Linked DNA regions of Diceros bicornis minor. The protein of the gene in region 1 binds, or shares a complex with, the protein of each later gene. Links are inferred from orthologs where the notes say so. Each region holds a gene or a part of one and is shown in the gene's direction. Other genes may lie near its edges. The genes, in order: POLE3, POLE and CHRAC1.

The links.
Region 2: POLE3 (region 1) and POLE share a complex: the UniProt entries of both Homo sapiens proteins name them as parts of the DNA polymerase epsilon complex. The link is inferred for Diceros bicornis minor from reciprocal best matches to the Homo sapiens genes POLE3 and POLE.
Region 3: POLE3 (region 1) and CHRAC1 share a complex: the UniProt entries of both Homo sapiens proteins name them as parts of the CHRAC ISWI chromatin remodeling complex. The link is inferred for Diceros bicornis minor from reciprocal best matches to the Homo sapiens genes POLE3 and CHRAC1.

What each region holds. Positions count from the first base shown.
Region 1 is NC_080767.1:21,637,334-21,647,438, reverse strand, and holds POLE3 (DNA polymerase epsilon subunit 3), read left to right. Parts: upstream 1-6,289; 5' UTR 6,290-6,409; coding exon 6,410-6,475; intron 6,476-6,575; coding exon 6,576-6,661; intron 6,662-7,037; coding exon 7,038-7,156; intron 7,157-7,438; coding exon 7,439-7,611; 3' UTR 7,612-9,030; downstream 9,031-10,105. Other genes in the region: C28H9orf43 (uncharacterized protein C9orf43 homolog), read right to left, coding at 170-248, 2,854-3,004, 3,108-3,307, 4,541-4,626. UniProt on the Homo sapiens protein: Accessory component of the DNA polymerase epsilon complex. Participates in DNA repair and in chromosomal DNA replication.
Region 2 is NC_080774.1:479,722-489,446, forward strand, and holds the start of POLE (DNA polymerase epsilon catalytic subunit A), read left to right. Parts: upstream 1-5,117; 5' UTR 5,118-5,140; coding exon 5,141-5,202; intron 5,203-9,725. Other genes in the region: PXMP2 (peroxisomal membrane protein 2), read right to left, coding at 878-1,040, 2,857-2,973, 4,617-4,738. UniProt on the Homo sapiens protein: Catalytic component of the DNA polymerase epsilon complex. Participates in chromosomal DNA replication.
Region 3 is NC_080760.1:53,260,921-53,270,875, forward strand, and holds CHRAC1 (chromatin accessibility complex protein 1), read left to right. Parts: upstream 1-5,455; 5' UTR 5,456-5,513; coding exon 5,514-5,660; intron 5,661-7,252; coding exon 7,253-7,379; intron 7,380-7,479; coding exon of another isoform or gene 7,480-7,532; exon of another isoform or gene 7,533-7,942; intron 7,943-8,336; coding exon 8,337-8,455; 3' UTR 8,456-9,048; downstream 9,049-9,955. UniProt on the Homo sapiens protein: Forms a complex with DNA polymerase epsilon subunit POLE3 and binds naked DNA, which is then incorporated into chromatin, aided by the nucleosome remodeling activity of ISWI/SNF2H and ACF1.

The sequences.
Region 1 (10,105 bases):
GTATAGCATGTAAAGGCATTAGCACAAAGCCTAGCATATAGTAAGGGTCCAATATTAGCTAGTTATCATCATCATGATTATCATCATTACTCAGATTATAGACATCCCAAATGTTAATACAGGCAAATATTTTATTCCCACTAGTAAAGAGAAAATGCTGAGGAAGTACCTTTTTTGATCTGTGACTTCCTTCAGGAGATCTATTAGTATGGTTGATTAAATCTTTGTCAGGTAAAGCGTTCCGAGGCCTAAAAAATGAGAGTTTCCGAACATGAAACAGAGACACGAGAGAGTTATTGGGATGATAAACTTAGTGCTATGAGGAAAAGCCTTCTAATTATCTACAGAAAACCTTGGGCTTAATACTTACCAAACGAATGCAGGGTCTCACCATCTCCTTAAGTTTTGTTTGCTTGTTTTTCCTGGAACAGCTCCCAAACAGACATTGCACATTGCAAGCCCTTCACTATTATTTGTTGCATCACACTGATTTCATAGCTTATGCCTCTCTCTCTCCAACTACAGATAGTTACATCACTATCAATAAAAGTTTAAGTACCTTTGATGTAGATATTCAATAACATGTTAAACAGACAAAACGTGGTGTATACATATAATGGAATATTTTTCAGCCTTAAAAAGGAATGAAATTCCGATACATACTACAAGATAGATGAACCCTGAAAACATTATGCTAGGTGAAATAAGCTAGACACAAAAGGACAAATATTATATGATTCCACTGATATGAGGTACCTAGAATGGGCAAATTCATAGAGACAAAAAATAGAATAGGGATTACCAGGGCTGGAGGGAAGGGAGAATGGGGATTTATGGTTTAATGGGTACAGAGCTTCTGTTAGAGATGATGAAAAAGTTCTAGAAATGTATAGCGGTGATGGTTGCATAACATTGTGAATGTATTTAATGCCACCGAATTATACACTTAAAAATGGTTAAAATGGGGGCCTGCCTGGTGGCACAAGTGGTTAAGTGCAGGCACTCCACTTCAGCGGCCCGGGGTTCACAGGTTCGGATCCCGGGAATGCACTGACACACCGCTTGTCAAGCCACGCTGTGGCAGCATCCCATATAAAGTAGAGGAAGATGGGCATGGATGTTGGCTCAGGGCCAATCTTCCTCAGCAAAAAGAGGAGGATTGGCAACGGGTGTTAGCTCAGGGCTGATCTTCCTCAAAAAACAAAACCAAAAAAAGAGGTTAAAATCATAAATTTTGTTATATATATTTACCACAATAAAAATCATCCCCTTACATTTTCATATCAGTTGCTATTTTATTTTTAAAACATGTTAAATGGATGAATGAATGAATACTGCAAAGAGGTATAAGATAAGGATTCAACTCCTTAGCCTGATTTATGAAGTCCTGCGTGATGTAGGCCCCTGCTTTTTACTCCAGCTCCCTAGCCTCCTCTCTGACCACTCTCTCATTCCTGCTCTATGTTCCAGACACAGGGAACTATTTTCCTGACACCTAAAGAATTTCTGCTTGCCTCCAGGCCTTTGCGTGTGCTATTTCTGCAGTCTAGAACTCTCTCCTCGTCCACCTCCCACCTCACTGGTACTCTAATTTCAGGTCTAGGCACAGATGCCACCTGTACAGGAGGCAGTACCCTGGGTTAGGAACTCCTCCTGTGTCCTTCCACACCCCCAGGGGGTACCCTTCTCGCCACATTCATCACACTGAATGGGTCTTTGCCACCCCAAATAGGCTGAAAGCCCTTTGGGGGTAAAGACTGTATCTTGTTTACCACTGTGTCCCCGGTGTCCAGCAAAGTGGTCCCCACTAAGATACATTTGTGAATTCAGTGAGTGACTAAATGAATGATGGCATGGTCTTTCCCCTCATAGGCCCTGACTGGGAGAAGCTGCTGTTTTCCTAGGATTCAAATCCTAGAGAACCAGAAAGTAATCCTAACCTTTCCTATACTATCTTTAGCCTAACAGAAATCATCAAGGGCTGCTTTAGTGAAACAGGAGAGAAGAAACCAGTATAAGGGCCACTTAGTGCTTTGATTCCAGGCAACAGGGTCTTCGAATTCTAACAGTCTATGTTTTCCACAGATCCGTCCCTTAGCTTCCTCTATCAGCAAGCACTAATTGGGTGCCTAGACTCTGCAAGAGACTCAAAAGGAAACCATTGCTTCTGCCTTCGAGATCTTACAAACGGTTTCATACCTAAAAATAAAAGACGAGAAAGACAGCACAGTTTTCTGATGACCTACAGAAGCTGAGGAGATACTCCCTGTTAGAGGCTCAATTGTGTCCCCCCAAATTTTTATGTTGAAATCCTAACCCCAATACCTCAGAATTTGACTCTATTTAGAGACACGGTCTTTAATGAGGTAAATAAGGTAAAATAAAGTCATATGGGTGGGCCCTAATCCAATATGACTGGTGTGCTTACAAGAAGAGGAGATTAGGACACAGACATACAGAGAGGGAAGGCCATGTTAAGACATAGTGAGAAAACGGCCACCTACAAGCCAAGGAGAGAGGGCTCAGAAGAAAACAATTCTGCCAACACCTTAATCTTGAACTTCTAGCCTCTAGAACTGTGAGAAAATAAACTTGTTGTTTAAGCCACCCAGTCTATGGTACTTTGCTATGGTAACCCTAGCAAACTAATACACCCTCCATTGTAACCAACTCCTACAACACAAATAAGAATGCTTTCTTTCTGTTTCCCACTGCCTATTCACCACTTCTTTAATGGAAATGGTGTTTTACTTTTAATCCAGCTTTCTCAAAGTCTACTACACATGGATAAAAGAAGTCAACTTAGAATTTTGAGATAGTAGGCTCTTAATGGAAGATTCCATGATAACTTACCTGCCTCGAAATTTGCAGTCAAACTTTGAACCTCGAGACAATAAAGAGTGAGCCTTGGTGAAGGTAAATCCTGAGAAACGACGATGAGCAAGTCTCTTGGCCCGGAAGCAGGAATCTGAGATGTTTACAATGGTGAGCACTGGGAGTTTGTCTGAGAAAGCAGACCAGAACAAAACATGTAACATGTCAAAAGGGAGCCAAACAGAAATAGTTCAAGGATCTTAGAAGGAAGGAGACAGGGCTGGCTAATTCACCTTCAGCATCTGGAGGAGTTTCGCAGGGGGAGCCCAGGATTCGAGGGCGGCCCCTCTCAATCCGGCGGACAGTTGCCCAGCACTGTGGATGCTGACAAACGGCCAGGTCGCAAGTGGTTTCATCCCACTGGCTTTCATCTGGTGAGTCCACAGCTACAAATGGTTTAGGACAAGAACCCATCTTGCAGCTTTCTAGCCCCCTGGAGAAACAATAACCACCACATAACTAGGGAGTATTATACATTAGCCATTCATTCCAGATCTGAATTTGGACTCAAAGCATAAAATATTTCTAATGAACCCATATAGGTAAATGGTGGTCACAGGATAATTAAGAATTGGCTAACAAGCAAGTATGAAAACATCTCAGCACGAAGTAAAGTGGCAAGTGAGTGACCTGGGTCTTAACCAATCTGAGCTTGTTTCCTCATCTGCAAAATGAGGATAAGCCTATTTCACAGAGTCATTACAAAAATTAATGTATTTATAAATATAAGGTATTATTTTAAATTTACATGTGTATTCTATTTTTGAAATTTATCCATATTTATTGTCAAAAAGATCCTAATCTAATAAATATTTGATAGCACTTCAAGATGTCCTTAGCACTTAATTAAATCCTTGGAAAGTAAGTAATTGAAGGGGCCGGCCCAGTGGCACAAGCGTTAAGTGCATGCTCCGCTGCAGCGGCCCGGCCTGGGGTTCGCCGGTTTGGATCCCAGGCACACACCGACGCGCTGCTTGGCAAGCCATGCTGTGGTGGCGTCCCATATAAAGTGGAGGAAGATGGGCACGGATGTTAGCCCAGGGCCAGTCTTCCTCAGCAAAAAAAAAAAAAAAAAAAAAAAAAGAGGAGGATTGGCAGATGTTAGCACAGGGCTGATCTCCTCACAAAAAAATAAATAAGAAAGTAAGTAATTGGAAAAAAAATTAGTTAATAGATATTAAAAGGTCTGGGGGCCCACCCGGTGCAAGCAGTTAAGTGCTCATGCTCTGCTGCAGCTGCCTGGGGCTCGCAGGTTCGGATCCCTGGTGCGCACTGATGCATCGCTTGTCAAGCCATGCTGTGGCTGCACCCCATGTAAAGTGGAGGAAGATGGGCACGGATGTTAGCCCAGGGCCAATCTTCCTCAGCAAAAAAAGGAGGGGGAGGGGGAGGACTGGCATCAGATGGTAGCTCAGGGCTGATCTTCCTCACAAAAAATAAAAAACAAAAAAAAAAAAGGTCTGCCATATAGTTCAAAATAAATATTAGCATCCTTTCCTTTTCCCCTTCATTAATCATTAGGGAGAAGATGCCATCATCACCAAAAAAGTTTATCAAATTACAACGAATGTAGTCACAGAAGTGCTTTAGATGGCTCAAACCTTTGGAAGACATGCTTCATTTTTCAATATGCTCCAATTCTCATACGGGCAGCTAAAATACCCACCAGAAATGAATGGGTTTGCTCAAACAGCAAATCAGTAGACTTGCAGTTGCATCAGAGGCCACTGGCTTTTCATTGACTGGCCGCATGGTCTTGGGCAAGTGACTTCACCTCTCTCCGCCTGTTTCCTCATAGAAAGCAGGGGAGGGAAAAACCCTAAGTAGGCTTGTAGAAGCATTAAATGAGATAACGTACTTTTATGTACAATATATAATAGGTGCTCAATAGATATTATCATCTTTCTCTCTGGAGAAATGTTTTAGGCAATCACTACCACCTAATCCCTAAAACTTTTTAAGAACAGTGTCCCTGTCATCTTTCTTTTATTCAACAAGTTTATTGACTACCAAATATCTGAGGGGACCTGTTACCGGCATGGAGACTATCAATGAACAAAATAAGTCCCTGTTTTAAAGAGCTTATACTTTAGACAAAAGCTAGCCAACTACTGGCCTGGGATTGCACCTGGCCTATGACTTGTGTTGTTTGGCCTGGACTTGGAGCCATTATTTTAAAATGCAAATATGGTCCATGATGTCCAGATTTCTGGCTCCTCATAAAGAACAAAATATCTGCCAACACGGGGGCCCAATGCCAATAGACAGCAACTGGCTGGAGCTGAGCATCTCCTGACATCTTTAAACCAGGTCTGTTCTATCCAAGTGGAGAGTTCCGCCACCAGACGCTACAGTCTCTAACTGAAGCAGTTTCGGTTGCCATTTATCACCACATTTGTTGTTGTTTTTCTCATAATAGGGAAATATTTCTCTGTACTCATGTCTCTAACAACAGCAGGAAAACGAAGCAGGGTGACTTCAGACATGTTTCAAGAAAGAGAGCAGCATTAGTACTCAGTGGGGGTGAGGACAATTTCTGCGCACCTAACATGAAAATGACACAACTTAAAAAGCCACTGCAAAAGCACGGTAATGTTTTTGACCCGGAAAGGTGTACGGTGAACACAACACAATGAACTAAAAAATAAACACAGTTTTAACAGGGTTTGTTTTTGAACGCGAAGGTCTTGCGTTATTCTTGCAACCGGCTGCTCGTTGCCCTTTCGTTACCTGCCCAGCCAGAAGTGAGCCCCGAGGTCTAGTCATGCCCATCTCTGTGCTGCCACATTAGCGCTATGCTGCAAAGCAGTCTGCGTTCAAAAATTCTAAGTTAACAGTTATTCTTAACAGGATTACAGAGTCGGGAGTGGTGAAAAGATTAAGGATGGACATCAGCTCCGGCAGAGTTGAAAAAAGATTCCCCGCTTCGTTCCGGAAAAGGAAGTGGAAGAACGCCGCCCCGGGGAACGGGTCCCGGATACCAAACAGCAGATACCAAACAGCTAAGAGACCGAAGCCCACCGGGAAATCACCGCTCCCGGCGCGGCCCCGCCCGACAGGCCCCGCCCCTCGTCCGAAGGAGCCCCGCCCCGCCGGCTCAGTCCACGCCTTCGTCTCCCACGCTAGCCGTCAGTCTGCGCCGTCGCCAGGCAGCGGCGCAGAGCACTATGGGGAATGGACGGAACCGCCAGTGAGCCAAACTTAAATTGAGGCGAGACATCCAGACTTCTTGGTGGCATGAGCAGAGAAACCAGCCTGCGAAGGGACGCTGGGTGCCGATGGGGTCAGACGGAATCCCCGGCGGGCCAAAACGAAAGCGGCGTGCAAAGTTCGGATGCACCGGCAACTTGAGGCGGAGGCGGGGCTGGGGGAGGAGGGAGGCTATGGCGCGCGGGGCACTGTGGGACACAGAGTGAGCAGTGCGGGGGCGGGACGGAAGCCTTGTTGGGTCAGATCGTGGCGACGCGGGAAGTCTGGACGCCGTAGCAGCCTGAAGAGGAGGCCTGAGGCGGAGACGTGGGCCCCGGCGGCGGCGATGGCGGAGAGGCCCGAGGACCTAAATCTCCCCAACGCCGTCATCACCAGGATCATCAAGGAGGCGGTGAGCAGCTCGGGCTGGCGGAAGGGCCGGGGCAGACGAGCGGGCAGGCGGGAAGCAGGTCCTGGGCCGGCAGCTTCGCTCACTCCAGCTCTCCCCACAGCTCCCGGACGGTGTCAACATCTCCAAGGAGGCCCGCAGCGCCATCTCCCGCGCCGCCAGCGTCTTCGTGCTGTATGCCACGTCCTGGTGAGCCGGGCGGAGCTCGCCAGAGCTCAGCGGGGGCCGAGGCATAGGGGAGGCGCGAGAGATCCCCCGGCTCGCGGAGGTCCTGGCCTGGGGCCCACAGACCCCAATAATTGTGTCCCATCTCAGTGGAGAGAGGTTCACAGTTCTCCACTTCTTGCCAAGTCTGAAGCAAAATAAAACAACAGAATAAGTTTGCTTTAATCCTTTTGTACAGGGAAGGGAGGGTGCTTACCATGTCATCAAAATCCATGCATCTAAGACCTAGGGTTTCCCGTTCCACCTATGGGTGCTCCTTTTCCCACCCCCTCCATACGCGGCAAGGGGGGTCTCTGACAGCCTCTCATGGCACTTAATCTTTCTTCTTTTCTTCTTTTAGTGCCAACAACTTCGCGATGAAAGGGAAACGCAAGACACTGAATGCCAGTGATGTGCTCTCTGCCATGGAGGAGATGGAGTTCCAGCGGTTCATCAACCCGTTAAAAGAAGCTCTGGAAGGTAACGACCCTTTCGTTTTCTCAGCCAAGTAGATGTGCATCCTGTGTGACCCGCTCACCTGGTCCTGAGTCTTTCTCAGCCTGAGTCTCTTTTAAGTCCCATGAGCAAGTATTGGATGTGACTTAGAATCAGTTCAGCTGGCACGACTTCAGATCTGTTTTGTGATGCTCTTCAGGTTATTTTTCCTTCTGTGCCTCAGCTTTTCCAGGTATACAATGGAGTTAGCTTCTGCAGTCTGTCTGGTTCAGCCCTGCCTCCTAACTCCCCCCTTCCTCCTTACAGCATATAGGAGGGAGCAGAAAGGTAAGAAGGAAGCTTCAGAGCAAAAGAAGAAGGACAAAGACAAAAAAACAGATTCAGAAGAGCCAGACAAGAGCAGGGATGAGGACAACGATGAAGATGAGGAAAGACTGGAAGAAGAAGAACAGAATGAAGAGGAGGAAGTGGACAACTGAATAGGGTGGGGGAGACTGTGGCACTTTGGAAGGTACCACTCTGAAACATGGTACACGTTTGTGTGAAGCTTTTCCCTGCTGGGCAGAGTAGTCTTAGGCAGAAGAGCCTGAGGAGATCGAAACAAAAACTGACTACAATTATCAAAACCAGCGCTTCCCACACTCAGAGCATCTGAGTAGCAGAATGCTGTTGCTTAACCATTCTGAAGGTTATGACTCTTTGGCAAGAGGGATTTTGAACGGCTAATTTAGTCAATTTGATCTCTCTTGTTTTACGTGTATATATATGGTTAGACAGTTTTCGATCCCCAGTTCCCTTCCATCCCTGTGGAAGTTCCCTCCCCTTAAAAAAGTAATAATAACTTCTGTACTGCCAGCTGTGTTCCAGATCACAGAGGCAGTCAAGGCTCAGGAAAAATTGGGGCTTTGATCATGGTCAGCCTGTTTGATTATACAATGTTTGGCAATACTAGGTTACTACAAGTGGTCAAAATGGTTTAGCTTTAGGAAACTACTAAAAGAACAACGAAATCTGTTCCATTGTCTCTTCAGTTGACAGTAACATTGATAGGATTTCGGTTTCTACAGACCCGTTTGGCTTGGAGCCCTTCTATATTGCTTGTAGGCATTTGACCTGCTGGGGTGGCTGCTCTCCGGGCACGTATATTTTACATCAGCAGTGTAAAGTGGAATTACACAAGCAAGTGTGCTAATCTCCTACTTACAAAACAGGTAGTTTAGTCTTAAATGCATCTCACTGCCTGCCACTGTACAGCTTTAGGATTTATTGTCACCTTCTGGAAGGTATAAAATTCCAGGCTTTCTCTTTCAGTCCTTCCAGACTTGTAACTATGGCTTTTCATTCTTCCAATTCATGACAAGTTCCAAACTTTGTTTTACTTCACCACAACTTTCTCCCTGTGTGCTTCTCGCTCCCTTTCTGCTGCCTCTCCTCTGCTCCTCATTCCCACTCTCTCTCCCTCTCCGTATCACACTTCTGCAATCCAGGAACTTTGATAACCTGCTTAATATCCCAAAGGGCAGGTTCCTCTTATTCCTTAGTTCTAATCTCATGTCTTTTAAAAATGATTTTGTAAACCTCTCTGAACCTTAAGGGAAATCTGATGGTGCTCAGGAATCACCTCCCCTACCCCCACACCCCCTCCGGCCTACTCCCTTTAACTGCTTCTAAGTTATCTCAATTGACCTTTCTTAGTTTTTTTTTCTCTTTCCATTTGGTACTCCAAGCACTTTTTGGTTTGTCTCTAAGTTGAGCGCTTGGAGGTTGACAGGTAGTGAAGTGTAGTTTGACACTGTTAATATGTTAAATGAACGCAGTGAAAAGTTTGTTGATGAGTGAAGAATGTTGAGAAAATTATATTGCTTTGTACAAATAAAGAACATTCTTGTTAAAAGTGATGATTCCTGTTTCATCCTGCTTGTTTATAGTGTGCTTTTGGGGAGGACCGACTGATCATGCCCTGTACAGTTTTTGGGGTGTGGACTGGGCCAGACCTTTGTCAATATGGGATCCTGCATCACCTTGGATGACCAGCAGATGCTGCTCATTCACAGGCAAGGGCGCTGCTCTTCAACCACAGCAAGGGCTTTCGATGGCTCTGCCAGCCACCCTACACATACAAGATGCTCAACAGCTCTCAACATATTAGGTCCCTGCTAGGTGTCTGCACTGTTATAAATGCTTTCAAGTAGTAACTCCTAGACCCTATGAAGGAGCACTGCTGTTACCTCCATGATCTCAACCATAACGCCCTATTACCTGTCGCATTATATAGCTTTTTCAAATCATGGATTTATAAATAACATTTCACAAAGATACACCCCAACTGTAATGTAGATCCAGTGGCTTTTTCCTTCTCCACAGCAGAAACATCGTTTCTTAATTCCCATGAGCTCAGCTAAGCCCTCAAGTCCCATCTGGATTCCTGTGGCTTCCTTTGAGCCATTTCCTGCCTCATCTCTGCTTCCCCTGTGTACTGCTTGCCAAGTGGATCTTCCTGGAACATTGTTATTTTACAGTCCCTCACTGCTTCCTATTAAATCAAATCCATACTTAAACTTGTTATTCAAAGCTTGCTTAAGGAGGACTTGCTTTACCTTCTATTCTAATCTACTCCAACATAAGGCTTCATTCAACTATGAATCCCCAAAAGAACTCTCCTTCCACGTGGCTTTAGTTCTTACCAAACCTTGACTACCTAAGAAAAATGTTTCCTGAGAGTGGGGAATGACTTAAAACGACAGAATTTTAGAACTGGGAAGAATCTTTTGAGGTCATCCACCAGATTTTCCCAACCACACCTATATCATTCCTATAGTGGTATCTAGATTTTGAAGTTTCCTTACTAGGCTAAGGTAACGTTTCTCTCTTTTTTTTTTTTTTTTTTTTTTGCTGAGGAAGATTAGCCCTGAGCTAACATCTGTGCCCATCTTCTTCTACTTTGTATATGGGATGCCGCCACAGCATGGCTTG
Region 2 (9,725 bases), on another chromosome or scaffold:
GCGCACCGACGCACCGCTTCTCTGGCCATGCTGAGGCCGCGTCCCACATACAGCAACTAGAAGGATGTGCAGCTATGACATACAACTAGCTACTGGGGCTTTGGGAGAAAAATAAATAAATAAAATTATAAAAAAAAAAAAGAATAATTTACCTGCTGTGATTGGTTGAAACAAATTACTTCCAGGGCAGAACATGACACATCTCAGGCACACAGCGGACAGAGAGGAGATGGTGAGCGCTTGAAGGTGCCACTGAACTGGGAAGGGACTTAGGTTGGACACATTAGGATAACAGATGTGCCCGGTGATTACACGTGAACACACCTTTCATGTGGTGGGTTCTGATGTTAAGTTTATGCTGCTAAGTTAACCTCTTCAAAGCACTTACAATGTCTAGGCACTGAGTTAGCACAGGCTTCTGCGACATCATTAGGGGTCTGAAACTTCTGTACCATGGATCTCTTTGGCAGTCTGATGAAGCCTACAGATGCCCTTCTCAGAATCGTGTTTTGTAATGTATAAAATAAAATATATAGGACTACAAAGGACCCAATTATACTGAAATACAGTTATCAAAATATTCAGAAAACAATTTTATGATAGACTAGCATATGTGCATATTTATTAACATTCAGTGACGAGACCTGACAGCAGGTGCAAGGAATGAACTTATGTGTGATATCAAAATATCTGTGATTTCTACTGCGGACCAACAGGTATTGTTAATACGCTGTGGTTGGCTTCTGACATTCATAAAAGAAAATGTGAAACTTTGAGTGTAGCGAAAAGCTCACAGACCCTCTGAATTCCACCCACGATGCCAGATTAAGAATCCCTGTGCCAAATGAAGAGCTGTCGTACTACAGCAGAGACCAACCTCCAGGAAGTTCATGATGAAGAAGAACAACAACAGGAAGGCCGGTGCAAAGAGGAGGCGGTCCAGGAGGAGCCTCTTGACCCCTGCCAAGGGGACCTCGGAAGGGATCCAGTGCTCCAGGAAGAGGTAGAAGAAGTGACTCAGTGGCCCTGTGAAGAAGAACCTGTGGCCCCGTGGTGGCGGGTGAGCTGGACTGCCCCTCTCTGGACGTGCCCTTCTGCGGTCCAGCTTCACCCCCAAACCCCAGGTCCTAAAGCCTGCCTCCCTGTAGTCCCTCAGCACTGACCACAAAGGTCTGTGTGATCCTTCTAGAAAATATGCTTTCTTCGAATCTACTTCAAGCATTCTTTCCTGCCTCTCACAGACCAGACTTGTTCCTGTCTTGGATCCCCCTAATCTTCACATGGCCCACTCCTTCTCAACCCTGTCAGCCTGGAGAGTTCTTTCCTGATTGCCCTGCATGATGAACCCACCGCTGTCCCAGCCACTCTCCGTTCCAGGCCCTGTTCACTTTCTTCATAGCATTTATCACTACATGTCACAATTTCCTTGGTTTAGTTACACAGTGCTTTCTCTTCGCCCCTAGAAGGTAAACGCCACAAGACAGGATCATGCCTGTCTGTTCAGTGCCCAGAACAGGGCCTGGCTCAGAGACGGTGCTTGGTAATAAATAACTGGAAGCATCACTGGTGTTAGAACTTTTCATCAAACCCTCTTGGGTAATTAGCAAGAGCAAAACCTAGTGAGCACACTGGCTTGTGTGTATTGCCACTGTTCTTCCAAAGTGTAAAGTGCTTGGGAGAGAACTGAACCCAGCCACTACATCTATTGGGACAACAGACCCACAGCTCCATAAAATCCAGCAATGACAGATGGACAGAGCCCAAGGGTCTTCCAACCTGACAATGAAAGTCTTTAAACAAGTGGTTCTCAGTTGTCTTTTCCCACCCTGCCATAGAAGGTGAAGTGGCCTAGAGCCGGAGTTCACAGTGGGAGGAGAAGGGAAGTCTTGAGGATGGAAACTGTGATGGGATAAAGCCTCCCAGGTGATTCGGGTATACTCAACCCTGCCCCCCCATCGGGGGGATTACAACTTTAAATATATTGCAGAAAAAGCTGCAATGACTAAAGTTAGCATGCTCACAGATACAAAAATGATATTTGTAAATTTTGAACTGAAAAAAAATCACTCTTGTTGCAAAAGATTTCAAAATAATCCATCTATACAAACACTGTTGTTGGCCAGAGAACTCAGGGTGGACTTAATTGGTAAAACTCCTGAATCTCTGTGCTATTGCAATTCAACAAGTCGTTCAGGGGCCAGCCTGGTGGCGCAAGCAGTTAAGTGCGCACGCTCCGCCGCGGCGGCCCGGGGTTCGCAGGTTTGGATCCCGGGCGTGCACTAACGCACTGCTTGGCAAGCCATGCTGTGGCGGCATCCCATATAAAGTAGAGGAAGATGGGCATGGATGTTAGCCCAGGGCCAATCCTCCTCAGCAAAAAAAAAAAAAAAAAAAAAAAGAGGAGGATTGGCAGATGTTAGCACAGGGCTGATCTCACAAAAAAAAAAAAAGTGGTTCAGAAACTGGACATTTTTCAGGATACCTAAGTATTTCTTTTCTGGATGTTTTTGATATGAAAATAACAAGAGAAACTGACCACATTTGAGTCTGTTTTCCTCTTTCAGGGTCTTTGAGTCTTGAAGTCTGACTTCAGGGTCAGGTGAGTTATCTGCCCTCAGGTCTCTCAGGCCAATTAAGACAGCCTCCTCAACCCATGCAATTCAAAATAAGGACCACATAAAAACTATAAAATAAGTGGTTAATGTTATCCACCGTTCTGATTTTTCCCATGATTACTTCAAAGCTTTTTAAAAATTATTTTTCCAAATTAGATTATTCCAGAGACTTGCTCTTGATACCCTAGCTTTGTAGCACTTAGTCTGCTACTGGGTAAACCAGCCCCTTTATGGAACTCACCCATAAATGGCATATCTGAGAGGCCCACTGACATCTAGCTTTTGAGAGCAGTTTTCTTTTTTCTGCTGCTTCTCAGACATCTGGGCCAGCAAGTTCCCAAGTGCTGACAAAATGCCACTGTGGACAGAGAGGTAATCAGAAAACAGGAGCAACTGCAGGAGGGCATGTGTTCCTGAGATTATGCTGGGGAGGGGTGGAGAGGAGTCCTTATTACAGCAGCCACAGTGTAAGGCTTCTACATAAAAACGTAGACACAGTGGAACTTACACACACACACACAAAAACACAGGAGTACAGTAAGCTTTCCAATTAGTGGATTGTATCAATGTCAATATCCTGATTGTGATATTATACTATAATTTTGCAAAAGGTTACCATGTGGGAAGGGGGAGTGTGTGGTTATAAAAAGGCAAGAGGAAGTATCCTTATGATGAAACTTTTCTGTATTTTGACTGTAGTGGTGGATACATAAACCTATGCATGTGATAAAACTGCACAGAACTAAACACAGGCACACACGAGTACAAGGAAAGCTGAGTATGAAGTCTTAATATGATCTGTGACTGTATCCATGCCAGTGTTCTGGTTGTGATATGTACTACAATTTTACAAAATGTTTCCAATGGGGGAAACTGGGCAAAGTGTATGAGGGATCTCCTTGTAAAATTTCAATAAAACGGTAGAGACAGTCGCTCCAAGGGTTGGTCTATAGTTGCCTTCTGAGAAGCTCTCTGAGCTATAAAATCCAAACTTGTTAGTATGGACGATAAGGACCTTCTTGATCTGATCCTTGGCTACTTCTTTCTCATTTCTCCCTTTCTCACTCTTCATTTTCTCCAGGGACACAGACCTTCTTTCTACTCCTCCATCAATAGCTTGCTCCTCCCTCCAGACCTTTGCACCTGCTGTGCCCTCTGTCCGGAGAGCTTTTGCTTCCCTTCTTTGCATGGCCTATCCCCTCTCTTCATCCAGGTTTCTGTTCAGATGTCACCTCCTCAGATAAAACTTCCCTGACACTTTACCTGTATTACATATTTATCTGCTTTTTGTCTGGCTCTTCACTAGAACGCCAGCTGCATGAGGGAAAGGACCTTACCTATCTTAATCACTGCCGATGGCCCAGCACGCAAGAAGCACGCTGTACATATTTACAAAAGACTGAACTAGTAAAAAGGGACAAACTCATGAAATTAATTAAAGTAATGAAGGGGGAAATGTCTCATAAAAAGTTTAGTGCTCCAAATCAAAGGGTGGAGTTACCCAGCAGTACCGAGAGCGCTTTCAGTTTTCTCCCAAATGCAAGGCTGCCGCAGAAAACAAACCTGCACACCTCCCACCCTGCCCAGGCCTCCTGTGCGCTCCTCAAGGCGTCTACCTCAACGCCATCCTAACTCTCAGAACACGCGCAGGCACAGACAAGCTGTGCGAGAAGCTGGGCCCCATCTGTCTCGGGACGCTCCCTCCAGGGCAGCGGGACCAAAGGCGCAGAGGTCTGCAGGCAGTCCTCCGTGCACCCCTTTAGTCGGGCTCCCTGGAGTTCACATTTCACAGTGCCTGAGTTACTCTTCGGAACCGAAGACACAAAACCGCATATGCTGAGCTTTCTGGTTAATTTACGGTCTTTGGAGGGTCATTCAGAGGCACGGGGATTCTTGCCTTTCACACTCAAACCCCCGTGGAAGAGGCACCTATGTAGCGGGGTCACCGGGGCCGTCCGGGCTCCGGGCTGCCCCCGCCCGGTCCCGTCCCCCCGCGCCGACCTGGTGGCCGCCTTGGTGAGCACCGGGTAGAGCCGCAGGAGGCGCAGGTACTGGGCGAGCGCCCGCCGCGGGAGCGCCCCGAGCCCGGGCTCGGCCAGCAGCCTCGACGGCGCCGGCGCCATCACCTCCCGCTCGCCGCGCGCCCGGGTGCCGGCCCCGCCTCAGCCTGCCGGGAGCGGGGCGCGGGGCGCCGGGCGGGGACGGCCTGACATTTCCCGCCCCGCCGCGGTCCGCAGCGCCGCCCGCAGACCCCGCCGTGCGGGGCGCGCGCCTCCGCACACTTTTCCCGGAGTCCCTAACGGGCCACCGCCCCTCGGGCGCCGGCGGCGATTGGAGCTCCGCGCGCCTGCGCACACCTCGCCTAATTTCCCCGACGGGCCACCTCCCCTCGGGCGCCAGCGGCGATTGGAGTTCGGCGGGGCGGGGCGCAACGAGCATCCTGATTGGGCGGCGGGGTGCTTCCGCTCTCTCGCGAGAGTTGGTGGGAGCGCGCCAAATTTCTCCGCAGAAGCGGCGGCGGCGCGATGGTTCTGAGGAACAGCGGACGGCGGCGTGCCGAGCCGGGCGCGGACGGCGAGGCGAGCCGGTGAGCGGGCCCCGGGCGGGCGGGCGGGCGCTGGCCCTCCCCTTCTGCGGAGGTTCTGGGCTCGCAGCCGAGGGGTCCCCCTGAGGCCAGGCAGGAAGCCCGTGTGCGCCGGGCCCGAACGGCGGTCGGCGGCGGCCGCGGGCGCTCCTCCTCAGCTGCGCGGGCTCCGCTGAGGGACGCGCCCGGCGCCGTGGCCTCCGCGCCGGCTCGCTCCGCGCCTCGCCCGCCGCGGGCTCTGCGCGTCTCGGCTGCCCCTTCGGGCGGGCGGAACGGCCGTGCGGCCGGTGGTCAGCGGTGTCCCGGCGCCGCGTCCTGGCCCCGTCCCCGGGGCGCTCTCGCGGCGCCACGTCGGCCCCTGTTCCGCAGCCGTGTTCACACGGGCGGAGCCAGAGGGCGGCGGGGGCCCCCGGGGGGAGGGGCTCCTCGGGGCCGGAGCAGCGCGTCCGCGTGGTTTCCTCGCGCGCCGGCGCGCGGAGCCGCCACTGACGCTCCGCTCTGAACGCAGTCCTCAGAGCGGCTGAGAGACGTGGAGGACGGCGGTCGTGACGGGAGCGGTAGTTTCTGTGGCAAACGCTGTCTGTCCGCGTCCCTCAGTCCTCACGGGGCGCCTGCGAGGCGGGTGCCGCTACCCGCGTCTCGTGCTTGCGCGGGCCTCGGGGGTGGAGTGTTGCCCGAGCTGGTGGTCGCTGCGCCGGCGCCGTGCTCAGTGCCGTCCCCACAGCAGGCGAGGCCGCGGTAGTGGGGAGCCGTCGTCGCTGTCAACTTCCCTGTCTGCCCTGTTCCCACGCGACACGTGGACTAGCTCCTTGAATCCTCTCGGCAGGCCTGGGAGGCAAGCGTGCCCCTGGGGCAGCGGTCGAGGGCGTGGGCTGGGGGATGTGCCTCCGTTTCTGCCGCGAAACGGCGTGCTTCCAGTCCCCCTGGGGGGCTGTCGTGAGAATTGATGGGGAGCGCGCAGAGCGCTTGGACAGCGTCGGTCATGTAGAAGGGCGGTAAACGGTAGTTACCATCTTTGTGACTACTAGCTCCGTTTTTCAGATTTTGTACTATCACGGGAGAAAAAGTGAGATGTGCCGCTCAGAGAAAACAGTTTTGGGAGGAGATATGATCCGAGTGAGCGGGTTTCTTATCTGCTTAATCAGCGCATTTGATGCGAGGATGGAACGCAGGGTATGTGGAGGAATGTAGTGCAGAGGGCTGCAGGCCCTGGAGTAATGTTCCATGGGCAGCCCTGCATTCAGTCCTGACTTTCGTGAGATCTGGACCTCAGACTGAATTTATGTATGTTCTCTAGCAAGGCCTGGAATCCAGTTTTCCTGTGTTTTTGATTTAAAGTGAATCCAGATATTTTAGAGAGTAAACAGTCATACAGTATGGTGGTGTGTTGGTTTCCAATTGCTACTGTTAACAAATTACCACCTAGTGGCTTAAACAATGCAAATTTATTCTCTTACTTTTCTAAGGTCAGAAGTCCTAAAAATCAAGATGTCGTCAGGGTTTCATTCATTCTGAAGGCTCTAGGGGAGAATCTGTTTCCTCACCTTCTGTAGCTTCTAGGGGCCACGTTGGCCCCCTGCATTCCTGGTCTTGTGGCTCCTTCCTCCGTCTTCAAAACCAACAGGGTCACACCTCCAGTCTCTGTCTCTCTCTGATTCTGGCCATCCTGTCTCCCTCTTATAAGGACCCTGGTGATTGCATTGGGCCTACCTAGATAATCCCCATCTCAAAATCTTTGATGTAATCACGTCTGCAAAGTGCCGTTTGCCGTGTAAGGTAACACAAGTTCCCAGGATAAGGACGTAGACATCTTTGAGGGGGCCATTATTCTGCCTACAACAGGTGTTAGAATCTTTTGTGAAAAGTAAGGATCCTAATCTTGAAATAGGTCATTCTGTTCTTCGAGTGGAGGTGACCCAAGGAATATGTTCAGGTGAAGGAAGAGTGTTTCTTAAGAAACAATTCTCTATCCACTTCTATTGATGAATTAACAATGGGTGAAATATGTTGTGGTAATTAAGGACATGAATTCTGCACAAACTTGGTTCAAACCTTTTTTTTAATTCTCTTTGATCTCTGTTTTGTATATTTAGCTTATTTAGACTGCTTCCTTTTTTTACTCCTCTTATAAACAAATCCGTGATGAACATCTACATAAAAGAAATTATTTCCCGTACATCAGTTTCCTTGGCATAAATTCTTAGAAGTGGAATTGCAAGGTCAAATGATAGGGCAGGGCTGGCCCCGTGGCTTAGTGGTTAAGTGCACTGCTTCTCTGGCCATGCTGAGGCCACGTCCCACATACAGCAACTAGAAGGATGTGCAACTATGACATACAACTATCTACTGGGGCTTTGGGGAAAAAGGGGAAAAAAAAGGAGGAGGATTGGCAATAATGTTAACTCAGAGCTGGTCTTCCTCAGCAAAAAGAGGAGGATTAACATGGATGTTAGCTAAGGGCTGATCTTCCTCACACACACAAAAAAAATGATAGGGCAATATTTTGAAAACACTCACCTTGTGGAGAAATCTAATAGTGGTCAGAGATGGAATGGTCATATAATTTCATCAAGAATTGTGGTATCCTAAGAACCTGGAAACATTTAGCAAGGAGCTGGAATCAGATCCTGGGAAGTGAGAGGCGATGGAAGGGAAGGAATGAATGTCTATTCCTGTTGGGAGAGAATGTCTTTGAGACCTGGATTACTGTGAAACAACCCACATTGCCCTGTTCTTTGGAAGAACACTTTTAGGGAGAGCAGTCTAGCAAGAATGAGAACTAGTGTATCTACATATGCCTGTTTGACTGAGGATGCAGAGTGGTGGGAATCTGGTCGATTCTGCACAGGAAATAGATATTTACCATCTCCACTCACCACCTCCACTTGCTTGTGTTTAAATTTTTTATTTATTTATTGTTTTTCCCCCAAAGCCCCAGTAGGTAGTTGTATGTCATAGCTGCACATCCTTCTAGTTGCTGTATGTGGGATGCGGCCTCAGCATGGCCGGAGAAGCGGTGCATCGGTGCGCGCCTGGGATCCAAACCCGGGCCGCCAGCAGCGGAGCGCGCGCACTTAACTGCTAAGCCACCGGGCCGGCCCTCCACTTGCTTGTGTTTAGAGCATCACTCTAAACACGTGCATATTTTCTCTGCTCGTTGCTTTACAAAGTAACTCATTTATTTACATTAAGACAAAAAGACATGGGATATTGATTCTTAGCTATACATTTTTGAGGAGTGGAGAATATACTTGGCTTAACAAATAAATAGACCTTCTTGCCAAAAATATACAGGTTCAGAATCTCAGAACTGTGGTTTAAAGAAGAAACTAACAATTTTTTTTTTTTTTTAAGTGGGAATGCTAGTAAACGGAAGGATTGTTCTCTTTCGAACATGGGTAAACTGTAATTATTCTGGTTTATCTAGATGAAATCACACCTCTGGAGTTAAAGATTGTGAACCATTTGGGATGAACCTAAGCTCTAGAATCCTAACAGGTTTAGATAGTTCTGGTGGTGGAAAGTCTTCATCAAGTACTTATTTTAAGGTTTATGATAAAATCCGTGTGAAGAGTTGTTACAAGATCCTAGCCAGAGAGAGGCTTGGGAAGTTTGAGGCAGATGTACTGGTACTATAGAGCTGAGAAGTGAGTTTCCTTGTCAGTTGAGATAGTTCCTCTCACACAGAGCAATATTATATCCCCATTTTTATCCATACGTGGTTGTACTGACATCTAAACCCAGGCATCCTGGAAGATATATCATGTTTTTAAGGTATAGTTTATTCTGCTGCAACAGGTGTTTCCCTAACTCCAGTTAGCTCATATGCAATTGATAAACAGGAGAATGATGTCAGTAAAATGTGGCGATTACATTGGTTCATTTGCAGTTTTCCCTAGGCAAGGGGATCGGAATAGAGGGGTAGAATTACAATCTTCATTAGGAAAGGAAAAAGCTCTTAGCTGGAGTGTTGCACAGTTATGTGCCCTGTCGGCTCTATTTGAAGAAAATTTCATATGAAGCAAACTTCATATGAGCGCTTGCACCAGGGCCTCCCTCCCCAGTGAGGTGTACCTCAGCTTTGCACAAATCTCAGATGGCAGGCTGCACTTTTCTCTGTGCTCAGCAGTCATAAACCAGCATCTCGGCTCTCTTGTTTTTGTGCGTTTAAAACAAACATCTCTGTAAAAATATGGTTAATGACTTTGCTGTATAGAAATTAAAGCCATCTTTCAATGTCTATAAACTAGGTAAAGGAGAAAATGGCTTAGCTTGGATCACTGCCCTCTCTAAACGCTCATACAGTGAGGCTGAACCATGCAGCCCAATACATTGCAAACACTCTTGTTTCACTTTCCTACTGACTCATGTGAAATGCACCTTCCCAGATGTGCTGTGGCCACCTCAGGGGTTGTGCCAGTACTGTGCGTCATTTGCATGGGACTAGCACAGAGTAGTACCCAAAGCATTCAGTAAATATTTTTCCAACTCAAATTACATGACTGAAAACACAGACGAATTGAATA
Region 3 (9,955 bases), on another chromosome or scaffold:
GTTATTCGCAGAAGAAGATATATCTTTGCTCCAAAGCGCTTGGAGTCTGTGCTGTGACTCTGTTATTGGGACCTGCCAGGACTCCTTACAAGGGTGCTAAATGCCGCAGACACCCCGCCCTCGATCTGTGGGGTTGTCTGGTGAATGGGTCTGAGAGCACACTCAGGTGCAGTTCAGGCAGTCTCCAAAAGTCAAAGAGAGCCCAGTGCAGGGCACTCCACCAGCTTAGTGAAGCAAACCACTCAAGCCGCTGCCAGCTGTTGGAGCTGACACAGAATCTAGAACCTCTGGTAAGTCAGCTCTGTTGATAAATTCAGCCCCATCAAATGTCATGCTCTTATACTGTTAGGATCCATTCCCCATATACTTATTCCCCAAGTTTCTGCAGATAAAAATACATGAATATCCTGTGATTCTTTCAGTGTGAACATCTCCTAAACTGGGCCTCGCACTGATTCCCTGGGGCATGCTGGGATCTGACTCCAATTATGGATTGGAGTTAATGAGGGGCGAGTCTTCAGAAGACTCAGCATCTCCTTGCCAGGTAAGCACCTCAAGTGAGCTCATTAACAGGACTTCAAGCAGGCAAAGACTAATCTCAGGCAGGCAGGGGGGCTATTTCCACTAACAAATAGGCTCAGAGGGATGGGGGGTGCAAGTTTCTCCCATTTGCTTGTATCGTCCCAACTATCCCCATTCTAATTCTCAGGATCCCATTCTTCCCAATCAATAGCCCAACTTCACTGAGAAGCCCTGGTGACGCTGTGAATTCAACTTCTGTTGTAATTATGCATCAGGTAGGATCAAGGGTGGGTCTGACCTTTAGTCTTATCAGCCTCAAGGCTACAAAAGATAAGGAATCACTTAGGACCATCACAGAAGCTCGTTCTCTGACCATGCTTGATCTGCGAGTTTAAAGCCCAGAGCTTTCAATTTTCTTTTGAAATCTCTCCAATGCAATCAGAAGAAGCCAGCCTATCCCGCAAGCCTTGTCTCTATTCCCACCATGATGGTCACTGGCGGGAGCTTTGCCTTCAATGGACACTCCATCCAGGCAGGTGATAATTTAAGTAACTGTTTTGCCAGGGCATGCTGCCAATGAGGTCATCTCTGTGGACCAGCATAGTCAGCTCAGATAACCAGCCCCAGATTCCCATATTTGTGGATCTGTTTCCTACAACCACGGACACATTTCAACGTTCAATCAAAAAAGCAGAGAGGCTGGCCCGGTGGTGCAGCGGTTAAGTGCACGCACTCCGCTTCGGGGTTCGCAGGTTCGGATCCTGGGCATGCACTGAAACACCGCTTGTCAAGCCACGCTGTGGTGGTGTCCCATATAAAGTAGAGGAAGATGGGCATGGATGTTAGCCCAGGGCCAATCTTCCTCAGCAAAAAAGAGGAGGACGGGCATCAGATGTTAGCTCAGGGCTGATCTTTCTCACACACACACAAACACACACACACACAAAGCAGAAACTTTTTTAGATATTTCAAACAGAGAGGGATTTAATGTTAAGAATCAAATTTCAAGGGTGTTGGAAGAGCTGCAGGAGCATGAGGGAGAAGGTGCTCTTAAGAAAAAGAGGAAGGAGATGCCGCGCAGAGATCAGGAAGCTGGTACTGCCCTTGGCTTGGTGCCGAGGAGCCCACACTTGCCTCGGAACTGCTAGAGATGCTGCTGCTGAGCAGAAACCCAGGGTGAAGCCACTCAAACCACCACCTATGCAACGTTGCTCACCATGACGCCCTGCAGTCCCCACCCTGCTGCCAACGCCCTCACACAGGCAGATAAACAACTTCCTCCTCCTACCCGGCTGCAGTCACTCACTAGTGTCTCCCATTGGCAGAATGGAGCCAGAGGCCAGCTAGCAGGGGCTTCTGGGAAGAGTAGTTAGTGGCTTTCTAGCACCTTAGGATACAGACACAGGAGGGAGCAAGGAAAGGTGCGACACCTCTTGAGATGTTGTGAAGAGAAAGGGAACTAATGGATAACAAAGCTAACAACAGAATGACACGATAATTCACTGTGCTTTTTCTAGGGCAGGCAGGTTCCCAAGGTTTATATATTCTTTAGTTCTCCTACTCTTAGGTTTGAAGCTTGTTTCTTTTTTTTAAGTGGTGAGCACTTTCCCACTTTTCTGAAGATTTCCTTCTTTGCCCCTCTCCTTACTTCTCAAAATGATTAATGACTGCAAATATCCTCTGCCAATTCCATGACCTGAGCTTCTCATCCCCCTTTCTCCTTGAATTCTTTTGGCTCTCTTCTTTTCACTCTCCAGATGCCTTCCTCTTCTTTTTCTTTCCTAATCTTAACCCATCCTGCTCTCAAACATGCTGAATGAGAATGACAAACCTTACATAAAACAGTAACCAGCTAGAGAAACAAAACATCTAAAACCTTTAACATATAGCAACAATACAGCTTATTTCTTGTGTGGACTGAAGGACCCTACCATGTAGTTGGTTTTTGTTGGGCAGTTTCTTGCTCTTTCCTTCTGTGAATGTCAAGGCTCTCCCACTTACAGAGGAAAGGAGCCCCTTTGACTACGAGCTGAATCCTGAAGCTGAAGCAGCACCTCCTGCCCCTGCTCTGCACAGGGCACGGTGCCAATTGTCATCACCTGGCAGTTCCAGTGGGATTTTACGTTGGATCTGCTCCCTTACTTCAAAACTCGCATGGCTTTCCTTTGCTCTCAAAAGGACCGTCATACTTCTTGCCTGCCTGCCTGGCGGGCCCCACCTACCTTGCTAACCGCCTCTCCCGCGCCCTCTGCCTCACTCACTAAGCCCTAGCCACACTGGCCTTTCAGTTCCTCAAATTTGCCAGGGCATCTTCCTCCTCAGCCATCCTTCCCACAGGCTGTTCAGAATGCTCGTCTTGCCCCAGCCTCTCTGCATGGCCAGCTCCTTTCCCTTCTTCATGTCTGAGCTTAAAGATCACTTGCACACGATTGTGCTTCTTCCCAGCACTTACCATAGAAGGTATTTCTTTTTCTGTCTCCCTTGTCCTTGAAAGTAAGCTCCGTGAGAGCAAGAGCTATAGCTGTCTTGCTCACTGGCTGTACCTTTGGGCCTAGCAGTCCCTGACATGTATTTGGCGCTATTATTTGGGCCAAAACCTGAGGTCACAGTGGTGAAGATGACACTGTCCTTGCATTCTTGGCCTTTACCTCCTAGCGAGGTAGCTCACAGCAGGTCTAAGACTACTGGGTCATTATGCCTGAAGGTAGATGTGAAAAGACTTTTCTAAAACCCTAATACCACAAATGTCATTAATCTGGAGAATCTGTGACATCTGGCCTCCGGTCCCCTCCTCAGGAAGACTAAAGAGCAGTAATTTTCAGCACCCACTAATCTTGTAGAAACACGCTCTACAAGTATACATTTTATATTTTGTAATCATTACCTAAGTGATGGACAGAATTGAAATCAGAAAAGTTAAACAAGGTATATTTGAATTTTCAAAATGCTTTTCAGATGAACTTTGAAATCAAAGTTAACTTGGGGTAACAAGACCTTGCAGCAGGAACAGGGAGACTTTACACAGTAATTTACACTTTTGCAGAGTGCTTTACAGTTTACAAAAAGCTTTCTCATTCCCATCTCCTCTGACCCTCACCACTGACCTGTGAGGAAGCAGCGCTGGATGGAGTATCACCGACAGGGTGGGGAACTTGGATCTCAATATGCCAGGCACTTGCACACCTCACAACAACCCATCATCATCTTTGCAAATAAGGAAACAGTGGTTCAGAGAGAACACTTGCTTTGCCTGAGGTCACACCTGGTGAGTGGCAGGATAGTCATCTTAATTGACCCTTCAGCTCTTTTGGATGCACTTGATTAATTTATCCTTTCAGAAGAACTTTCTTTGTTTGGCTTTACGGACACCCGGTCTCTTGGTTTTCTTCTCACTCAATGACCACTTCTTCCCAGTCTCATTTGCTGTATTTTCCTTCTCTTCCCCATCTCGGAATGTTGGAGAATCCCAGGACGTGGTCCTTAGAGCTTTCTACTCCATCCACTCTCTCCTCCTAGATATTCACCCAGGTCCATGGTTTTAACTACCGCCTAGACAGTGGTGGCTTCTAAATTCACTGCTCCAGCCCGAATTCCAGGCTGGAATATCCAATTGTCCACTCAATACTGCCACAAGGGTTTGACAGGCAATTGAAACTTGCTCCAAACCAAACCTCTGCCAAATTTGCTCGTCCAGCAGAATTCCCCATCTCAGTAAATGGCACCATTCCTTCACTCATACTCCACATCACATTAGCGAGTCCTGTTGACTCTATCTTCAAATTAGATGCCAAATCCTACTACTTCCCACAGCCTCCACCCTGGTTTAACCTGCCATCATTTCTCAGTCCCATAACAGCTTCCTAACAGTGCTCTCCACCTGCTTACATTCTCGCCCTCCTACAGTCTGTTCACACACAGCACCTTGAGCATTCCTTGTAAAACTTCAGTAGGACCACCTCACTCTTCCCACGGCCTCGCAACTCATATGGAAAGAATTCCACGGTCTGTAAGACCCTACCTGATCTGGCCTCTGGCTACTTCCTACCATTCTTTTCCTAGCTCATTTCACCTTAGCCACACTGGCATCCTACTCATCACCTGCAATCACCTTCTACCTGATCTCTCTGCTTCCACTCTTACGACCCCCGGTCTATTCACAATCAGCAGCCAGAGGGATCCTTTTAAAGACATATCCCATCATCCTTCTGATATCTTTCAACCACTTCCCATTTTTCTTAGAATAAGATCCAATAGGACCTAGCGCGCCTGGTTCCACGCCTCGCTCATTCTGAGCTGCCCTGCGGGGGTCCAGCCTCCAGGCCTTTGCATTTGTTGTTCCTTCTCCCAGGAATGCGCTTTCTCAGACGTCAATACGGCTTATTTCCTCTCTTCACTGCCCAACCTTCTTCCCTACCACCTTGGTTAAAACAGTACTCCCGGTCTCTGTATCTTCTGACACTGCTTTCTTTTCCTTCGTGGTATTTATCCTATTTGCTTGCTGTTTACTTCGTCTTCCCTCTAGAACGCTGCCTTCAGGAGAGCGTTCTTTTGTTCACACTGCATTCCCAGCTCCAGCACAGCGAGGGCAGTGAATCAACATTCCTGAAACTTTCCATCCCCCTCCTGGCAGAGCTCTCCCCTACCGTTCGCCTCCCTCAACAGCACCCGCCCTCCCCTCGGGACCTCCTGCTCCCCCGTCCCGCGCCCCGCCGTCCCAGCCGGCCGCCTTTCCATCCGCTCCGCTCGGCGCAGGGTGCCGAGGGCTCCTTCCGGCGGCCTCGGGGGCGCGGGGCATCACGGGGCTTGTAGTCCGCCACCGAAAGCGCGGCTGCCGGCCCCCGCGGCCGCGCCTCCCCGACACTACAACTCCCACGGGGCAACGGGACGCCGCTCCCGCACCCACCGTGTCGGCCGGCCACCTCGCGGCGGGCGGTGGGCGGTGGCGTGATAGCGGGCGGTCCCGGCGGCCGCCGCGGGGGAGGGGCGCAAAGATGGCGGACGTGGTCGTGGGCAAAGACAAGTGCGGGGAGCAGCGGCTCGTGTCGCTGCCCCTGTCCCGCATCCGGGTCATCATGAAGAGCTCCCCCGAGGTGTCCAGCATCAACCAGGAGGCGCTGGTGCTCACGGCCAAGGCCACGGTGAGGCGGGCCGCGCGGGGAGCAGTGAGGAGCCACGAGACACGGGCGGGGATGGGGCCGCCCGCCAGCCTCGGCCGCGCCGCCGGCTCCCCCCCGGCCCGCGCGCCGCCGGTTGCCCCTCGCGGTCTCACGTGCGCGCGCCCTTCCGCGCCCCGTCCTCCCTCGCGCGCCCCGAGCTCCGCCCATCCCGCGCCGTTCCCGCCCTCCCTCGCGCGCCGTCCGCCGTCCCGCGGGCTGACGCGGCTTGTTTTGGTGTGTCGTTGCCCTGCGTCGCCGTATTCCCGTCCCTAAAGCCTTCGCTTTTCTCGCTTCCGGCCTGTTTGGGGGTTTGGGGGCCCCAGCTCCTCAGACGGTCCGGGGCGAGGGCCCGGGCGCCGTCCAGCGAAGCTCGAGGGCTTCCTCGGGAGGTGGCCGGGCCGCGCTCCCCGCGTCTGCTAGGCGGGCCGCAGTGGCATCCCGGAGACCTCCGCTTCCAGCCGGTGTACTAGCCCCCTCCGAGGTGCGGGACAGATCATTCGTCTCTTGTGGTTTGGTCTCGATAGTGGCGTGTCAGAACCCTTCCTGTTTTACACGGGGCCGTGTTTGAGCTGCCGTCTTCATTGTTTTAACTTAGAGTCTGTTTTCCAGCCCCTCCGAGTTCAGGACACAGTGTCCCTACGGTATGTTGGACTAGAGCTAACGGAAGTGGGAAATCAGATTTCTTGCCTGCTTTATGCCAGAGCCATGCTTTCTTAGAGCCCAGGAAAATAATTGCCCGCTCAGCATTGGGATATTTGTGTTTTCCTGTACAATTTCATTCTGTAAGTATTAAGGAACTGTGGCTTATGCAGGCCCTTCTTTAATCCCTTACTGAGCAAATTAGATGGAGTTAAAGCAAAAACAGAGAGAGGGGCTCAGTCCAGGTTGTTTCTTTAGGGAAGGTATTGGTGCAAAATGGGAAATGTCCATTTTCAGCTTCAGGTTGCTGACTATTATAGTTGTAGGCAAACCACCTTGGACACAATATATTCAAATGAAAGACTAAAATTGTGTTCCTGAGCCAGATAGAATTTTCTTTTTTTTTTTTAATAATTTTTTTTATTTATTATTTTTTTCCCCCAAAGCCCCACTAGATAGTTGTATGTCATAGTTGCACATCGTTCTAGTTGCTGTATGTGGGACGCGGCCTCAACATGGCCGGAGAAGCGGTGTGTTGGTGCGCGCCTGGGATCGGAACCCGGGCTGCCAGCAGCGGAGCGCGCGCACTTAACCGCTAAGCCACGGGGCCGGCCCAGATAGAATTTTCAAATGGTCTCATGCTCCCTTTTTACTGTACAGATTGGTTATTGCACATTTATGATTCATTAATTACTTTTAAATATTTTTGATAAGTTAGAAATCTAAAATAAACTTTAGGGAAATGCCTTCTCCACCAACTTTGATATGGCCTTGCTTTCCTTCTAACCTCATATTTCTCCTTTCCCCAGTGATTTCCTGTAATTTGAGAAACCAAGATAATCTGAGTTCATCTAAACTTAAAGTAATTTAAAGATGAAGTTCTATGATAAGTTTTCAAAGCACACCTTTCATTTTACTTTTTGGTTTTGTTTTAGGAACTCTTTGTTCAATATCTAGCCACCTATTCCTACAGACATGGCAGTGGAAAAGAAAAGAAAGCACTCACTTACAGTGATTTATCAAATACTGCAGAGGAATCGGAAACTTTTCAGTTTCTTGCAGGTACTTAGCCTTTGAAACATTCTGGTTAAAAAATGCTTAGTAATTTGCAACTCTTTCTTTCCTGCTTTCACTGAAATTGACATTTTGCTGCTTTCTCCAGGTGCCAAAGTTTTCCACGACCTGGCACAGGAAGACCTTTTATGTTTTGTCTGAGTGTGTTTGTAATGTGGTTCACCTAGAACGATAGTGAAGTCAACAGCCTGCACCAAGGATGTTTGGCTGGCTGGGTGAGCCTGGCAGACCCACCTCCTCAGACTCCTCCTTGCCACTGAAGGGAAAACTCTGGGCTGCTTTCCTTGGCCCCAGAAACAGAAAAACTAATGCTTGTTGTTGTAATAGTTGTGGGACACAGCCAGAAAGAGCTTAAGTCTACCCTTGGGGCCAGCCGGTCTGAGGTGGTTTGGGCAGGGTTGCTCAGTCGTTATCAGCACATAGAAGCACATAGTTTGCAGTCAGTAGAATGGAAACAGGTCTTGAGCATTAGTCAGCAGACAGTGCTAGTTTCCTGCTATTTCACCCAGAAGTGTAGTCTGAATTTTGTCTTGTTTTGGAACCTATTCTAAAGCAGGAACTAGTTGGGGCCGGCCCGGTGGCGCAAGCGGTTAAGTGCGCGCGCTCCGCTGCGGCGGGCCGGGGTTCGCTGGTTCGGATCCCGGGCGCACACCGACGCACTGCTTGGCAAGCCATGCTGTGGCGGCGTCCCATATAAAGTGGAGGAAGATGGGCACAGATGTTAGCCCAGGGCCGTGTTCCTCAGCAAAAAAAAAAAGAGGAGGATTGGCGAATGTTAGCACAGGGCTGATCTCACACACAAAAAAAATAGACATGATTTTTCATAAACAAAAAATTAAAAAATAAATAAATAAATAAAGCAGGAACTAGTACATTTTGAAATTTGCATTGCTGTATTCATGGTGTACCACAACCAATTGCTGATGTTAGCTTTATGTTTTTAAGATATATTACCAAAGAAGATTTTAGCTAGTAAATATCTGAAAATGCTTAAAGAGAAGAGAGAAGATGACGAGGAAGAGCATGACAACGATGACAGTGATGATGATGACGCGGAATCCTAAACCAAAAAAGTGCTTTAAAAATCAACCTGGTGAAGACCGTTCTGGATTGGCACCATTACTTTGAAGTAAGCACAACACTGTGTGACTTTAGTCTCCTCGATTTTCAGAGACTTCAAGTACATTGTATTCTTTCCTGGCTGAGATAGAGCATCTGAGGCACCTATACCATAAATAGCCAAAAGGAAAGTAACCCAGACAACGGCCTCTCTTTGACAGGTCCCCGCTGCAGTTGGAGGGTACCAAGAAAGAGTTGTCTGTACAGTCAGGCACTGCCACTCAATCTGCTGCAGCTATAAGCAGCAGAGGCAAAGACAATTTTGCTTAACTTTTAAATTTACAGATAGATTTTGAAGAGCTTCTAAATATCATTTGTGTAAATTCGTATATGTATATTTTGAAATCCTTATAAACAACTAGATCCAGTTTTAGCTAAATATGTAGTTTATGCGTAGTATGTTACATTTCAGTTTTTGTATTTCAAGAAAATTTGACTATTTGTCCAAATACTGCATTTTTTTAACTGTAAAGAAATAAATTTTTCTTTTTTATTAAAAGTTGTACATAGTTTTACAGTAAAATGCTTTATGAAACTAGTTTTAGAACCCTCCATTGTTTTACTGCCTTGCTTATTACCTGAGACTTTTGTGATATTTAAAAATAAGGATTTCTAACACTTATTCCCAGAGAAGAATTTCAAGTCAAATTAGCCAATGCAAAAAGAAATGTTACCTCTGCATGAGCATATTTTTCTTAAAAAACGTTTTAAAACATTTTGTATGTTGAAGATCTCTCTTTTTACTGTTCTTTTCTTTACACCCATTGTGATTGTTTTTACTGTCCACAAGAGGAAACCATAAGCCCTATTTTTTTTTCACATACAAATTTTTGGCTCTTGTCTTTTCAGTCTCTTTTTTAAAAAAAAAAATTGAATTATAATTTATATCCAGTAAAATCATCCTTTAATGTCAAGTCTGTTGGTTGTGTAAGCAATCAATATACAGAACAGTTCCAGTCACCTCAGATGTTCCCCTGTATTCTTCTGGAGTTAGTCCCTTTGCCTATCCCCAGGCAACCACTGATGTTTTCTGACCATCTTGTTTTTAGAATAAAATATTTTAAAATCCACTTTTTGGTGTACAGTTCTGAGTTTTTTTATTTTTTGTTTTTTTGGTGAGGAAGATTGGTCCTAAGCTAACATCTGTGCCAGTCTTCTGCTATTTTGTATGTGGGTCGCTGCCACAGCATGACTTGATGAGTGGTGTATGTCTGCGCCTGGAATTCAAACCTGCAAACCTGGGCTGCCCAAGCGGAGTGCGCTGAACTTAACCACTATGCCACTGGGCAGGCCCCAGTTCTGAGTTTTGACAGATGCAGAGTCGTGTAACCACCAGCACAATGAAGATACAACAGTTCTGTCACTTCCCCCAAATTCCCTCATGGTCAAACTCATTCCTACCTTTAACTTTGACAACCACTAAGCTATTCTTTGCCTCCATAGCA